Linked DNA regions of Caenorhabditis elegans. The protein of the gene in region 1 interacts with the protein of each later gene in a pairwise test. Each region holds a gene or a part of one and is shown on either strand. Other genes may lie near its edges.

Region 1 (8,019 bases):
TACCATAAATTTTCGATACAATTTCTCAATAAATAGGTTTCCCGTTTTTTTTTTCCAGATTCTCTCCGCAATTCTTGCAATTGAATGGACTTTGTGGAATGAAGATCCATTGGAGCCCATGACCCATTGCCTTGTATACTCTACATCTGCATCAATTGGAGAAAGAATGTATATCGTGTTCCTGGGAATACTTGTTGTTGACATTTTTATATTGGCCGTTTTTCTAGCTTTATACCAAAATAACAAACGAAAAATATTGTAAGTAATGTAAATGTGAAATAATCAACTACATATATCTTTGATCAGATCCTCCGGGCTTAACAAAAAGTATCAGCAACATGAGAACTTGGTAGTGTTAAGAGCTCTCTTTCCAATGGTCTTGTTGAATACTGTCTTTGTTTCTGCCTATATTTTAATTGCCATGGTAGTAAGAGCATTCCGAGACTCTCTTAGTCTCACAAATTATAAATTTATCGCGATTAACACATTTGTAAGTTATTACTATCTGGTAAAGCATTTCAAAATTGAGATTTCAGATATTTCCTTACGTGTCATTGCTACTTTCTATGACAATTTTGGTGACCACCAGGAACGAGTTCCAGAGAAGACAACTCCGAGAGCTGAACCAAAATGGGAAAGGAGTATCGCAAACTTATTTCAATCTATATCAGCGGCAATGGAGCGTTATTTCCGAGAGAAAATGAATTTATCATAAATATTTTGTGACTAGAAATTGTGTGAATAATGTAAATTCGGGTCATCGTTTTTTTTTAATTGTATAAATTTAATTAATGAATATATATTTTTTTAATTTCTTATTCTGCATATTTTATATAAAAAGTGTTCTATTATTTGTTGGATTGTTGTTTTTAGGGCTATTAAATAGGGCATTTTCTCAATTTTTATATCATAGAGCGCGTATATGGATTTGTTTTTTTTTTTGTTGAAAAAAAAGAAAAACTAAAGCTGTTCTTTAAAATAATTTAAATAGGTATGTATGTATTTGAATATGTGGTTGAATAAAAGCAACAAATACGTGGTTTTGTAGCAATTTTCAGAAAATAGCTAAGCCAGAATACTTCCGTTGTTACATCTTGTCCTATAATCATTTTCAAACAAATTGTTCAGTTTTGTGGGTTCGGTTAAAAGATATAACATGATAAGGTTTCGATCTGATATGATCGGAACACGTTTTCTGTTTTCACTTTTTCAATCACAGACGACTATGTCTGCCATCCTCTTGTCTTACTCTAACATCATTTGAAAAATCTTAAATTGATTAGGTTTTTTGTGGAATTTTAAAGATAGCTTAGTATTGAAATTTTTTTGAATGTTACAATTGGAGTGGCATGGATTCATTGAGATGGGTTCCACCGCAAAAATAATGTTTATACCTACTTCAAATTTTTTGGGGATATTCTTTAAAACTTCTAAAAAGGGAAACGAGCAGTCGAAAAATAAGAAAAAATGCAAAAAATTATAGTTTTGTTTCTAAAAAATTGAAATGTATTTGATATCAAATTTGATAAATATGCTATTATAATGAGTTTTACCGGCATTTCGAAGTTTTCCTTCCTTGAATTTAGTTACTTTCCAAATTTACATCATAAATCTCTTTCTTATAAAATAAAAATTCATCTCTACACAAAACAATGTTCAAAAGAGCATCAAAAAGAGCACTTTGTTCGTGAGATGTGAAGAGAAAGGGTCAACACATGTTATTTATCACCGTAAGTCCGTTGAGGGGCCGCCACTATACGGGTTGAAAAGACGAGAGATACACCCCGCAAAAGAGACCCAGAGAGTGCGATGGAGCGCGTTTGCATTTCTTACTCAGTGTTCACCCGTTCTATCGATTCCATCGACAGTATTTTTAAACTCCACAGGGTTATTAATTACTAAAAATGTGTTATTTGAGAATTTATTGATTTTGAATTTTTCTCAATTTTTTTTGTTAAAAATTTATCGAATATGTTCACCGAATACAGTATTTTTTCAGAAAATGGAACCTGGTTCGGGTTCTCCGTTATCGGCTCGAGCGAAATTTCAATTCGAAGGTTCAAATAACGATGAGGTGAGGTTTTGTTTCCCACACATTCAAACTTGTGAAATTTTTTTTTAATTTAAAAAATAGTACATACTTAAATTACTTTTTGACAAAAGTATCATTCCACGAATTTTCAGCTAAGTTTCGACAAGGATGACATCATCACAATAACACAGCAGCAAGAAGGCGGATGGTGGGAAGGAACACATGAAGGAGTGACCGGATGGTTTCCGTGTGCCTATGTAACTCTCATCACAGAAAAAGGTAACTTGAATCGGAAAATTCGAGCTAATACCCACAAATTGCAGACAAACTCCAGCGATCTCGATCCGTCCCAAATGCAACTGCAAAAGGTATATCTCATGAAGATTTACTCGTTGAGACAATTCAAATTTAAAAATTCAGAAGTGGTATCCGTCGGAGCTCAACCAGATTATCGAGACCTTGTGCTCAAAAGTTATATTGAATCGGAAAAGGAGTACATGCAAAGCTTGCTCAAAACGTTGCAATCTCTATTGATTCCAATTGGGGCATCTAAAATGTGAGTTTTAAAATGTTTTTTTTAACTTTCAAAATGTGAATTTAATTCATTGCGGATTTTTCTTATTGCTTTTTTTGTTGATCAATCCAGATTCTAAAAATTGATAACTTGAAATTTGGAATGATGGGCACCTCTGCGCTATGAAAAAAAGTATCTTAAAAAGTGGGGCGAGTAGCTCACTGTTTCAAAATACAGTCACAGGTCCCATTTTTCAAAAAAAAATTGAGTCTAGCTAAAGCTTTAAAAAAGTATACCTAAATTATTACCTAAATTATTCATATTTATTTACAATTTACTTTGAGATTTACATTGAGAAAAACATCAAGTTCCATTGCATTTCCGGTGGATTTTCATTTTTGGGTACGACAATAATACATTTTTGACAATTTTCAGCTTGACGGCTCCAGAATACTGTACGTTGGTTGGGAATTTCGAAGTAATTTACACTCTGAAACGTGATCTTTTTGAACAACTGGAGCGTGAGCAAAAGTGAGTTTTAATTTCTCCAACCTTCTTCAACTTTCTTATTTCAGTGAGGAGCTTCCAAAAATGAGAGTCGGTGGAATGTTCATGAATGCTGCTCTTGAGCTCAGAACGGCACTAATGAGTTATGCTGACAATCATCCAGACGCTGTCGAAGTTCTCAAGAAGAAACAGTAAGTTTTGACAGAGCTAGAGAATGTATCGAATGTATTGTTTCGCGTTTTCAGGAAGGAGTTGGAAAAGGTGGTAAAGTCGCAGGATCGGGAGTACAAGGAATTGGTGTTAGGACTCAGTGAGCCACTCCGGCACGTCGAGAGGTACTACAACTTGCTCCAGGAGCTTGAGCGAATTGTTCCGGTGAGTATTTGAATCTAAATGAGAAAAAAAAACATAGGTCAATCGATTCATTAAACTCTGGAATTTTTTTTCATAGAGAAAGCACAGTTGTTTAATTAAAATACATCATTTTTGTGAAAATTTTATTATGATAATTTTTTTATGTTAAATTATCAAGTCTACTCATGTGAACAAACGTTGTTAATGCATAATAATTTTTATATCATTTTGAGTCAATGAGATCATCATCAAAAAAATTTTCAGGCGAATCATCCGGACCGTGGAGATTTACAACGTGGATCGGCAGTTTTTCGGGAAACAAAGGTGCGTTGTTTTAAAAATATTAGAAACACAAATCTAACTGACTCACAAGAATTAGGATCAACAAGTTTTAAAATCAAACTATTTTTAGGATTTGTGTGAAACCCTTCGTAAGCAGAAAGAAGCCCAACTCGACTTCTTGTTTGTGTCAAAAGTGGACAAGGTGGTTTCAGCGTCAGAACGAGGATCTATTCTCTATGTGGGTGTTGCAAATGTGGAATACAAGAAAGCGGATGCAGTGGATCGGTGAGTTGCCGAAAATTTTACCTGTTCAAATTTAGAAGTGATTTCAGATTCGTGGCATTGTTCACTAAATACATTATGTTTTTCGAAGTCACCAAGGATATGACATACGACATTAAGGAGAAGTTTACAGTGTCCGGTTTTATTGTTCGGAAAAAGGAAGCTACTGAAATTTCATTTGGTAAAATATTCGGATAAAAAATTAAAATTAAAAAAAAAAACAAATTAGTAACCCAAGTTTTTCTAGATCGCCCCAACACTGGAGAATTCACTCTAACGATGGTTTCAACCGGGGGTGAGGTGGAGAGATTCCTTGTTGCTTTGGCGAAAGCTGAAAACGTGGCAATCATCACTCCGACGACAACTATCTTGAGGAGACCTTCCAAAAATGCTAACGATACAATGAATCAATCACAGACTCAAGGAGCAGAGACTCCTCTGGTCGCAAAACCCCCACTTCATCCCCCAGGAAACTCGGATCAACAGTATAGTATGATGAACAAAAGAAAAAGCTCGAAGAAGTGAGTGTTTTCATGTTAACCGTGTAAAATTGGAATGAACAGACAATTATCAAAAATGTCTTCGCAACGTTTAACCCTCAATTATTTTCGATTAAGTTATATTTCTTTTCGCCGCCCGGTTAGCTCAGTCGGTAGAGCACCAGACTCTTAATCTGGTTCTCGCGGGTTCGAGCCCCGCATTGGGCTTAGTTTTTTGTTCGTTGCGATTGGTTTTCCTATTACAAGTATTTAAAGAAATTCCATGATTTGCCAAATTTTGAGATTAAATTCGTGATACCAGTTTGTATTATTCTCAAAACTTCAAAAGTAGTACCAAAACGGAAAAAAATTAAAAAAAATTTTTTTTGAATATTAAACACTGTATTGAAAAAAAACAGCGTGGCGTTTATGCACAGATTTAAAAAAACATAATTTTTGAAATCTGTTCAAACACGCTACGCAGTTTTTTCTCAGTGAAAGTGTACATACCACATACCGAGACGAACAAGTGGCGTCAATCACATTACTGTCCTTGAAAAACGTGACATATTTCTATTTGAAAGGTCGCACCACATCTACTTTTGCCGCCCGGTTAGCTCAGTCGGTAGAGCACCAGACTCTTAATCTGGTTGTCGCGGGTTCGAGCCCCGCATTGGGCTTACGCTTTTGTCTATCTCAAATGATCATTAAAAAAACTTTACTATAAAATTTACTCACTTTTCTAAATTGGGGTGCGAAGTTTCTAGGTGGAATATTTTTTCAACATTAAAGGAATTTTCTTATTAAATCCTATACACTTTTTGAAAGTATCGCTATTCAATTAATTTTCAATGTCGCGAGAAATCAATTTTGCCGGTTTGTTTATTTTAACAGTGTTGGCAACGACCGACGACCTAACAAATTTCAACACACTATTACACTAAAAAGTGCGAGACACTTCCTGACAGCCACAAAGTGCGCCTGACATTTTCACTTTTTAAATTACACGCGCCTCGGTTCCTATCGCCGCCCGGTTAGCTCAGTCGGTAGAGCACCAGACTCTTAATCTGGTTGTCGCGGGTTCGAGCCCCGCATTGGGCTTACCTTTTTTTGCATTTGTCCTCTAGACAAATGTATGCAAAAAGATATTGCAAATACGATTTTGATGGGATGGGATAGAGTATGAAGCGAAAAATTTGATGTAAATTACTACTTAGATTAATTGGTATTTATGTATTAGATGGACAAATCTCTTCTCACCAAAAATCTCTATGTTTTTCGATCCCTCGATTTTGGATAACAAGACTTGGCAACATTAACGCTCACCAATTTAGGCAACACAAGAAATTGTGTGTTCTTCACGGATCAAAACACGAAGACTTTCTAACTGTCGCATGTGAAATTTCGGACTCAATAGATCACGAAGAATAGTTCGTAACAGATACAATGGCTATTGAGATAGGAGAAATTAGGGTGAAAAGTTTTTTGTGTGGACAATATAAAAAATAATGATAAAAAACAAATAAAACATGGAACGAGACCTAAATTTTGAAATTTTCAGCTTTGATGACAGTTTAAACTTGGGAAATATGAAGTTCGATCATGAACTCGGAATGGTGCTCCCTGAAGGATTTGAGCTGCCAACAAGCAGTCGCAATTCAAGGAATACTGCAGGTAGGAGATATTTTGTTATTTATTGTTTTCTCTGTCGTGATTATGATTATCAACTAACAAAAATCTTTTTCAGATAACCTGCAATTCTCCCAGTTCCCATCGTTTTTCCTAAGCGGGAACGCCGGCAAACGAGGTGATCGTAACATTCGACTTCGAAAAGACGCGGCTCGTGATGAGGAGATTGAGTTTGAGACACTTCGAATTTTGGAAGGATACTGTGTGGAAACTGGTGGCGGACAGTCGGACTTCCATGCAAATGAAAGTTATCAACAACCACATTTGATTGTTGCAGAAGATGAGAAGATTCTGATGGAGGAGATGATTGGAGATGAAGTTGTTTTGCAAGAGAAGTAAGTTTTTTTTTGAACGATGAGACCTTAGAAGAGTCCAGTTCAGTTTTTCTAGGGTCAAGATTGTACACAATTTGTAAAAAAATTTAACCTTTTCGTTTCCTCTTCTCTTGCTGAATCATAGATATTAGGGTGGCGTATATGAAAAAATTGGGTGGGAAAATAACGGACGAATAGGAAAATCGATAATTGATTGATAAGAAAAACTAACTTCAGCAAACCTGAAATATCTAGAAACTTTGCAAAATTGGAATCCCCCCCCCCCCCCAAATTGATGTTTTTTTAGTAAAGAAGTTGATTTTTCTAAGGTTCTTTTAAAATTTCTGTTTTTTTTTTTCAAATATGTCCAGTGTTGATTCCCAAGTAGAGTAATTTGGGCACGTGGCTCAGCTTTGAACAATTTTTTAGTTCTCAATTCAAAACCGGCCAAAACGTTTTCCACTGTGTATTTAAAACTGAATGAGTTCTCAACTGATTTCGCATGGTTAAGAACGTGCTGACGTCACATTTTTAGCAACAAAAATCCCCCATATTTTGTAGATCAAACCGTAATCGGACAGCCTTGCACAACGTGCCAATAGTGATATTCCTAACAAGGCCCTTCATTTCGAAGCCAAAAAGAGATCAAACATTTACTTTCTGTAAAAATATAATTTTTGATCACCAGTAAATAATGATTGTTTTCATCTAGTCATGTTTGCTTCTTCTTTTTCTTCTTTTGTCTGTTTTGCATATCGTCCATTTTCAGTTATTATTTTTCGTACTGCTTTTAAAGAAAAGTAATAAGCTGACAAGGAAAAACAAGTATCCCCAAAGATAACAAGATGAAGAGGGGATAATTTTTGTAGAGACAATTTTTTGTAGTTTCCTTGTTTACTGATATTATTTGGTATTATAGTATTATAGCCGTTCATCGGAAATTGTTGTCTGATGAAAAACAGGACGTGAGTTGTTTTTTAGATAACTTTCAGTAGGATAGCTTGTTTTGTCATGTTTTCGACCTTTTTCGACCTTTAAGTGAAAACCATAACAATCTTTATTTCAAATTTCCCTTCACAAGTGTGTAATTTAAATAAATTTATAAGCTATTCTTCAACGAACATAAAAAGATTCGTGCATTTAGAAAACATTTCAAATTTATCTTTAAAACTTTATGTACATCGAACTTAGTTAGACATCGTCTATAAATCTGTCATTTTCATTCGTCGTACTCCTTGAGCACATCGGATGTATTTAGTTTGAACTTGAATAAGTGACCAGTATTTCCCAATGGTCAATTCGCTCTTGCTCCAACGACAATATCTATTCCTCCGACTTGCTCTCTCTTCGTCTATCTAGATTTCCGTTTCATTGCTCATTTGTCACCTCTTCTTTTTTTTTCAGAAGTATTGTGGATGCTGTGTACGCCATCAAAGATCAACTTTCGTTCCTTCAGACCGAATTTCAAAAACTAGCAAAAGTGAGTGAAAAATTCTTCTCTTCTGGTCTGTCACATCTAGCACCAATAATTTCATTTTTCCAGGTTGTTGAATCCGAACAAAAAGC
Region 2 (6,696 bases), 7.7 Mb from region 1:
TAGCACTATGAAACATTTGTAAGCTCCTGAAACTTTCAATCACTATTATGGTGAAAAATATAGTTCCAGAATACTCACAGGGATTATTCACATATTCAACTTGTTATGTGACTTGATTTTTTAAGTTTTGCTAAAATATGTTGTGCGTGTTCTTGAAAACCTTTAAAATTATCAATAATCAGCCTGACAACATTATCAGCCTCTGGAGTAACTTTTGTGTCCTTTAGCACAGTTGCTCTCAACAAAGTTCAGATATACCTAAATTGTGGTGGTGGGAGTTGAGTTGTGCTGCTGCAATTACTAGAATAACTATTTCTAGAATAAAATATATAGTCTAAACATAATCATTCAAATGAACTATTTATCATTTCTAATTTTTGAGGTAAACTACCTTATACCATGTACCTGGTCAGGAATAATAATAAATAATTTTTCAAAAGAAAATAGTACAATTTCCTTGAACAAAATTTGACTATTTTGAAAACTTTTCTGATTCTATAAGTAAATTCATCTCTCTTTTATTAAACATGATCAATTGTTTCAAACGTCATGAGACAAAATTTAAGATTTTGACCTTATGGCCGATTTTTAAATTGGAAACCACATGAAAACAGAGTTTCAATAGTTCCCACCTACAGACACTTGAAAAAGAAATAGGGAAATTTGGGCAAAGCTGGTTAACTGTAGATTTCCGTTCGAACGACACAAATGCAAGAAACCGAATGAAAAGAAGACAAAGTGAAGACAAAAAACTTACATAAATAATTGAAGTGTGTCGTCTGATTGGGAACGCTCAACAACAAGAAAAAAGAGATAGTCCAAATTGTGCATTGCGAGAAGAGATAAAGAGGGGGAAGATGTGAAATAATGAAGGGGCTTGAATTTTTACTCGTGATCGATTCCAGAAAACATTACACAAATTACTAAGGTGTGACTTTTTTGTTGGGAAACGGTAAGTTGGGCTCAAAGTAGATAGTTAGAAATGACTTGAGATGGAGAGAAAAGAAAACAGTTTCAAAGTAAGTACGACTTGAGATTTGAGAAGAACAAGAAATACACGTCGTGTATTGAGAATACAATCATCATAATTATGAGTTGCTAGCTTCGGCGATGCTCTTCTTCGCCGCAACGATTAAGTAGTACAGTGAAGCAAGCGGTTTGGCGCATCGGAGGAATGGATGCGTAAGGAGTTGGCTTGCCGACCATCGATTTTCAACTTGTACTTCCAACGCAGAGTCGACAAAGTCCTGGAAATTGGGACAGAATGGGAGAAATTGATACTGTACTGAAAGTAAAGTAAAACTGCGGTAGCAGTTGAGTCATCTTTTGTACATTTGTGACTAACTGTTAACAAATATTTTTTTTATCAAATCTTCTGTTTCGAAAGTTCTCGAGTTCTCTTACCTTGAACAACAAAGTCATGGAATCTCTTCCAGGGAAGTCGGGTTTGCCATTTGTAGCAATGAGATAGATAGCCTGAAAAAAAATATTTTTAAGATCAATATTGATTGATGAGAAATTTTAAGCTAAAATTATAAAACCTAAGTATAGCTGAAACAACTTTAACTTTAACTTTCTCGTCATTTTACAGCAACTTCTCAACAACGTCTCAATCTTCTCAACTTAAGCGATTTTTCAACAAAGTTTACCCAGCTTTCGGTAGTTCTCAATGCACATCTGTATCTTGCGGTGGGGGTCATCCCTAACTTTTACCAACTTTACCCAACTATTGCAACTTTTGAGATTGGTTGCTAAAGTTAGCTGAGAAGTTACGGAAAAATGTAAAGTTTCTGCTAAATTTTTTCTTAGGCGCCTGTTCAATAACATGACCTCAACCTGAACCAAATTATTTTCTGATCGTTATGGGCAAAACTGGGGTTGCTATTCTTACTAGGGAATAGTGGCCAATTAGATTTTTTTGAAATTCATTAAGCAACAAATTTATCGCTGTAACAACAAATTTCCATTTCTCATTCACACTCTGCGAGCACAAGTGTTATTGAAAGGAATCATATATTCAGATTCATGTTTTTTTTTTCAATTATCAAGCGTTGTCTTCTTAAATTCAAAAAAGCAAATATTTCATACCCTGAGTGGATTTTCATTCAAATATGGCGGTTCTCCTTCGACCATCTCAATCGCCATGATTCCCAAGGACCACACATCAACCTTGGGTCCGTATTGTTTGCGGGTCACCACTTCCGGCGCCATCTGCAATTGTCAAACATTAATTTCCTATTCGCTTTTTCAATTTCCATCACTCACCCAGTATGGAGTTCCGACCATTGTCGTGCGTTTTCTTTGCTCCGGCGAGAGCTGAGCACAGAATCCAAAGTCGGCTGAAATTCACAGAAGTAGGTTGCAAAAGCATTAAAAATTATAATCTTACTCAATTTCACCGAACCATCCATTCCCAAAAGAATATTGTCAGATTTAATATCTCTGTGAATGACGTGGCGGCTGTGGAGGAATTCAAGCGCTTGAAGAACTTCTCTGCAAACAGCTGCAATAATTCCATCCTCCATCTGGCACTCCGTGACAACATCAGTCAATGATCCACCGGCAAGATACTCCATCACTACCCATAATTCATCGCACACCAAATACGAATCCAAATAATTTACAATATTTGCATGCTTATTCTCACGCATCACCAAAATCTCATTAATGATCAATTCCTTCTTTGGTTGATCCTTCAGGTTCATCTGCTTGATAGCCACCTCCGCTTCGGTACTAATTTCAATAGCGGTGTACACAGAACCAGATGCACCTGAGCCGATTTTATCAACTTTTCTATATTTTCGATCTGGATTTCCGATAGACACAATGGTACGGAGCTTAGTCAGCACTTCAGCGTCAGTCATCTTTTTCTTAGCTTTTTGACCTCTGGCCTGTACACCAAATTGTCCTTTTGAAAGGTCTGGAATTTTTTCTTCCTCCTCTTTCGGTTTTGTGTACTGAAAATATACTTATATGTTATAGAGAACTTGGGAAAAATTCGGTACTTGTGTATTACATGCCCTCATTTTGAAATTGAATTAAATTTTCATTCATTTCTCCATATAATTTAAACGTGATATACATTTTTCCTCTCCAGGCTTAGAAAGATTATTTCCTAAACCTAGAAATAAAAAATGTGGTACACGTTTTTATTGTTTTTAACTTAAAAAAATACTCTAAAACTAAGGGCATGTAATACACAAGTACCAAAAATTCTACTCACAATACTCAACGTCCTTGCCGGCCTATCAGGGATAGCGGGAGGAACAATATCAGCAGGAGTTTCACCATGGGGGACCGGTGGCGGTGCATAACTCTGAAGCAATCAATATGAACTTCAAGATTATTCTTCCCACTTACCGGTGGCATACTCGATCTATTCTCATTTACACTAAACGTCGTCGGAGGAACTCCTTGCTTGCTGTTATACCCCGCACTACTTGTACTGGTTGTCATTGGATTCATCTTTCTTGGATCCTGAATTTTATTGCCATGATACGGCAGGGATGATGTGCTATATGGTTGCGGTTTCAGTCCGTATGATGGCGTCCGAGAAGGTGCGTCATCTATAAACACTGTAGAAGAATGAGCTCCATTAGCAAGACTGACTACGGGTTACTTACTCATATCGTACTGCAACCACTTCTGGCCGCTGCTTTCGCCTTGTGTGTAGTATTTGAGCGCGTCCAACACTGCCTGAGGATTCTGTTGCTGCTCTTGTTTTGAGATCTGTGAGTCTGTGAGAAGACGTGCCCATGCTTCAGGCATTCCCTGAAAATTTATATTGTTGATAAGGAGCAAAAGTTTCTGAGAAAAGTTTATAAATAAGATTCTACAGTAGTTTCTCAAGTCTATTCGACAAAACAGACCTCTTCATACTAAAAAAATTGGGACAATTTCATAGGTCTTTAGAAGAAACTATCTTTGGTTGAATACATGTTCGTGATAATTGGCTTCACTTAAATTTTTCTCGTATGGATTTGTTTTCTTAAAACGTCTCAAAAACGCAAGCTTTATTAACACTAACCATGGTTTCAAGAATAACACGTTTTTAGAAGATAATGCACTGAATTAACGGTTGCAAAATATTATTATAAATTGAGATTTGTTTATAATGATTTTTTGACTGAGGGAAAAAGTAAAAGTAGTAGTTTTTAGTTTTTAGCTTACTATTAGCATTCACGTTAATCTGGTACGATTAGCGGTTGCGACCGGTGTCAGAATGACAGCTGTATCACTCGTTCATCATTGGAAAATAATCTTGCAAGTAACGCAAGAGTGGGAAAACTGCTACAAAAACTTTTTGAAAAAATACTGACCGTAAATTCGCCGGTTTTTGGGTCATATCCGACATGAATTGTGTGTTCGAAATTGCTCGGTCGAGAGATCACTGGTTTTTCTGACGCTTCCTTTTTGTCTTTGTTCTCTGAAAAAAACAGGAAAATCAGGAATGGTTACAAGAGCAATATATTACTTTTCATGAACGGGTTAGGCATCGTCTTCTTTTTCTTGGTTGCTTCTGGCTCTTTGGGCAATGGCTTCAATCCGACGACCTGAAAAATTGAGTTAGTCAAGACATGGAGAATGGAAAAAAGAGAAATAGAGATGGGTGGGAGAGGGGCAAGCAACACATGCATCATCTGATTTGGAAGAAGAACCTTCGAAAGATTGTCGCCCATCTTTGGGGAGGAGTGGAGGGACGAGTTAATTACCTGATTCTCCCTCGTTGCCGAGCTGCTGAAACGAATTGGTGGTGCTGGTGGTTTCTCATCATACGATGAGAAAGCTTTCATTTTGGCAAGCCTGGAAAATTGAAACTGTTGGAAAAAGAAGACACAAGCATCAAACCAAAAAAGAATGAAGGAATACAGTATGCAATGTAAAACTGAAAAAGGAAAACAATAATTAGGAGGAATTTTCGTTGTCAAGTGAAATCGAAACTGTTGGAAAAATAGGAAAATTGGAACCAATATTCATGTTTTGTTGAGTCAAAAAAACATAGAAAAACGATCACAATAAAGAATCAGAAAAAGAAAGAACAAATTGCTGACCGCCCCCTTATAAAAAAATTGTTGGACTATGACTAACAAAAGAGGAAATTGATAGGAGCGGGCAGGGAAATGGATGCACAACACATGGTGTAAAGAGGACATTGACCCAGTGCTATGAGTAATCTTGGACCGAAAAAGCATGGCCCTTTCGCCTTTCGAGGTCGTCTATTGGATTGCTTTTCTATATTTTTTTAGTAATCTCAGGGTAGGAGTTATGGAAAATGTGGGACCCAGAATTTGACCTTTTCTTCGGAGTTCTCATTTGCATTATTGCTTCAAAGAGCCTATCTGCAACCAACGTCTGACGTGAGTTTGACCCGAAAAAGATAGATGGCTTTTTGGTTTTCAAAACGAAAGATTTCAAAGTTTAGGAGATGATGGATGGTGAATAAACTGGGCCAGAGGAAGAAGAAGGAATATTTTTCAAAGGAGAAAAAGAAGAGACGGGAATCTTTTTTAAAGTGTGATGATATGAGTCATTCATGTTTCACTTCATTTTATCGCCCACCACCGTGTGTTCGCGTACTTGTTTCCCGCTTGTCATCCAAGTGGCAATCAGCCGGATAATGTTCTAGAAGTGTGAAGCCGAAAAGAGTAGAAACTGTGAAACGAGGTTCGGAGTGAGTGACAATGTTGAGAACTAGTTTAGGAAATTAGAAAGTGAAAGCCGAAAAAAAGCTGAAAAGTTTGCATTCATACTAACGGTGAATGATGATACTTTTGGTCTAATACTATTCTCGATTAAAGGAGGGGTATCGGTTTTGGGTTTTTACTTGTAAGCACTCAAAATGTTCATAAAGGAACAAATTTAATAATGAGACCTCATAAAAATCATAGGGGGTTGATTGTGGCCATTTTCAATTACGTATGGGCTTTAAATGTACATTCATTAACAAAATAATGTAAGAAAATCACCAATATGCAATAAAAACATTCTAATCTTCAAAATAAATTTTCCAACAGCTGAGACATGAAAAAATAGCCAATTTTAATTAAAATTAGGTGTTTTTAAAATTTCAGACCGCCATAAAAAATTGTTGAACATTTTTTGAGAATCCTCATTACATAATCTGTTAATTTGGGAATATTTACAATCTAGACCTGCAAAAACCCAAAGGAAAATCACAAAACCGAAAGAAAAAAAAAAAAGAAAAATGAGAAACAAAATCTAGGTATCTAAGATTTTATTACACTGTCGATAAGAAATCCAATCTCATTTTGCACAATGTAGAAAAAAAACAGTTCGAAACCTGGACTGTTTGCTAGAAATGGAGAATGGCACTGTGTTTGTTGAACGCGCGCCATTTTCTAGTGTTATCAATTGAATGGAGGAAACAGAGAAAGATAACTAGTACGGTGGGTCGCGGATGATGCGGCCAAGGCAATTGATAAAGAGCTGCGGAGGGGCAAAACGGACGGATGAGGGGAGGATGTCGTTGGAGATAAAATCAATCGATAGCGGTCAAATGAAGAAGAACACACACAACCAGACATACGCACACACACATATACACGACAGGAAGGGGTGAAGAGGGAGTAAGAGATGTGAGTAAGAGAGATAGAACAACTTGGACAACCACCTAACATCTCGACCTCTCGACACTTATCATTTGGAGCTTCCTGAAATCTCAGTGAGCAGCAAAAC

Evidence for each region. Proteins that work in one complex are often made in the same cells at the same time.
Region 2: the proteins of pix-1 (region 1) and pak-1 interact in a two-hybrid assay, tested with the Caenorhabditis elegans proteins (one study listed by BioGRID).

Annotation. Positions count from the first base shown.
Region 1 is NC_003284.9:13,725,300-13,733,318, forward strand, and holds the start of pix-1 (SH3 domain-containing protein), read left to right. Parts: upstream 1-1,993; 5' UTR 1,994-2,002; coding exon 2,003-2,074; intron 2,075-2,184; coding exon 2,185-2,311; intron 2,312-2,355; coding exon 2,356-2,400; intron 2,401-2,452; coding exon 2,453-2,588; intron 2,589-2,981; coding exon 2,982-3,077; intron 3,078-3,121; coding exon 3,122-3,244; intron 3,245-3,298; coding exon 3,299-3,428; intron 3,429-3,671; coding exon 3,672-3,731; intron 3,732-3,819; coding exon 3,820-3,974; intron 3,975-4,021; coding exon 4,022-4,152; intron 4,153-4,218; coding exon 4,219-4,492; coding exon of another isoform or gene 4,493-4,496; intron 4,497-4,598; exon of another isoform or gene 4,599-4,687; intron 4,688-5,051; exon of another isoform or gene 5,052-5,141; intron 5,142-5,458; exon of another isoform or gene 5,459-5,568; intron 5,569-6,011; coding exon 6,012-6,124; intron 6,125-6,197; coding exon 6,198-6,474; intron 6,475-7,857; coding exon 7,858-7,933; intron 7,934-7,996; coding exon 7,997-8,019. Other genes in the region: K11E4.6 (G_PROTEIN_RECEP_F1_2 domain-containing protein), read left to right, coding at 59-258, 307-490, 537-704.
Region 2 is NC_003284.9:6,043,806-6,050,501, forward strand, and holds pak-1 (Serine/threonine-protein kinase pak-1), read right to left. Parts: upstream 4,800-6,696; 5' UTR 4,794-4,799; coding exon 4,713-4,793; intron 4,554-4,712; coding exon 4,475-4,553; intron 4,427-4,474; coding exon 4,320-4,426; intron 3,772-4,319; coding exon 3,624-3,771; intron 3,576-3,623; coding exon 3,361-3,575; intron 3,317-3,360; coding exon 3,224-3,316; exon of another isoform or gene 3,075-3,223; intron 2,958-3,074; coding exon 2,390-2,957; intron 2,340-2,389; coding exon 2,266-2,339; intron 2,212-2,265; coding exon 2,089-2,211; intron 1,477-2,088; coding exon 1,405-1,476; intron 1,248-1,404; coding exon 1,089-1,247; 3' UTR 504-1,088; downstream 1-503. UniProt on the Caenorhabditis elegans protein: Required for hypodermal cell fusion, together with cdc-42 and ced-10, leading to embryonic body elongation, which involves dramatic cytoskeletal reorganization.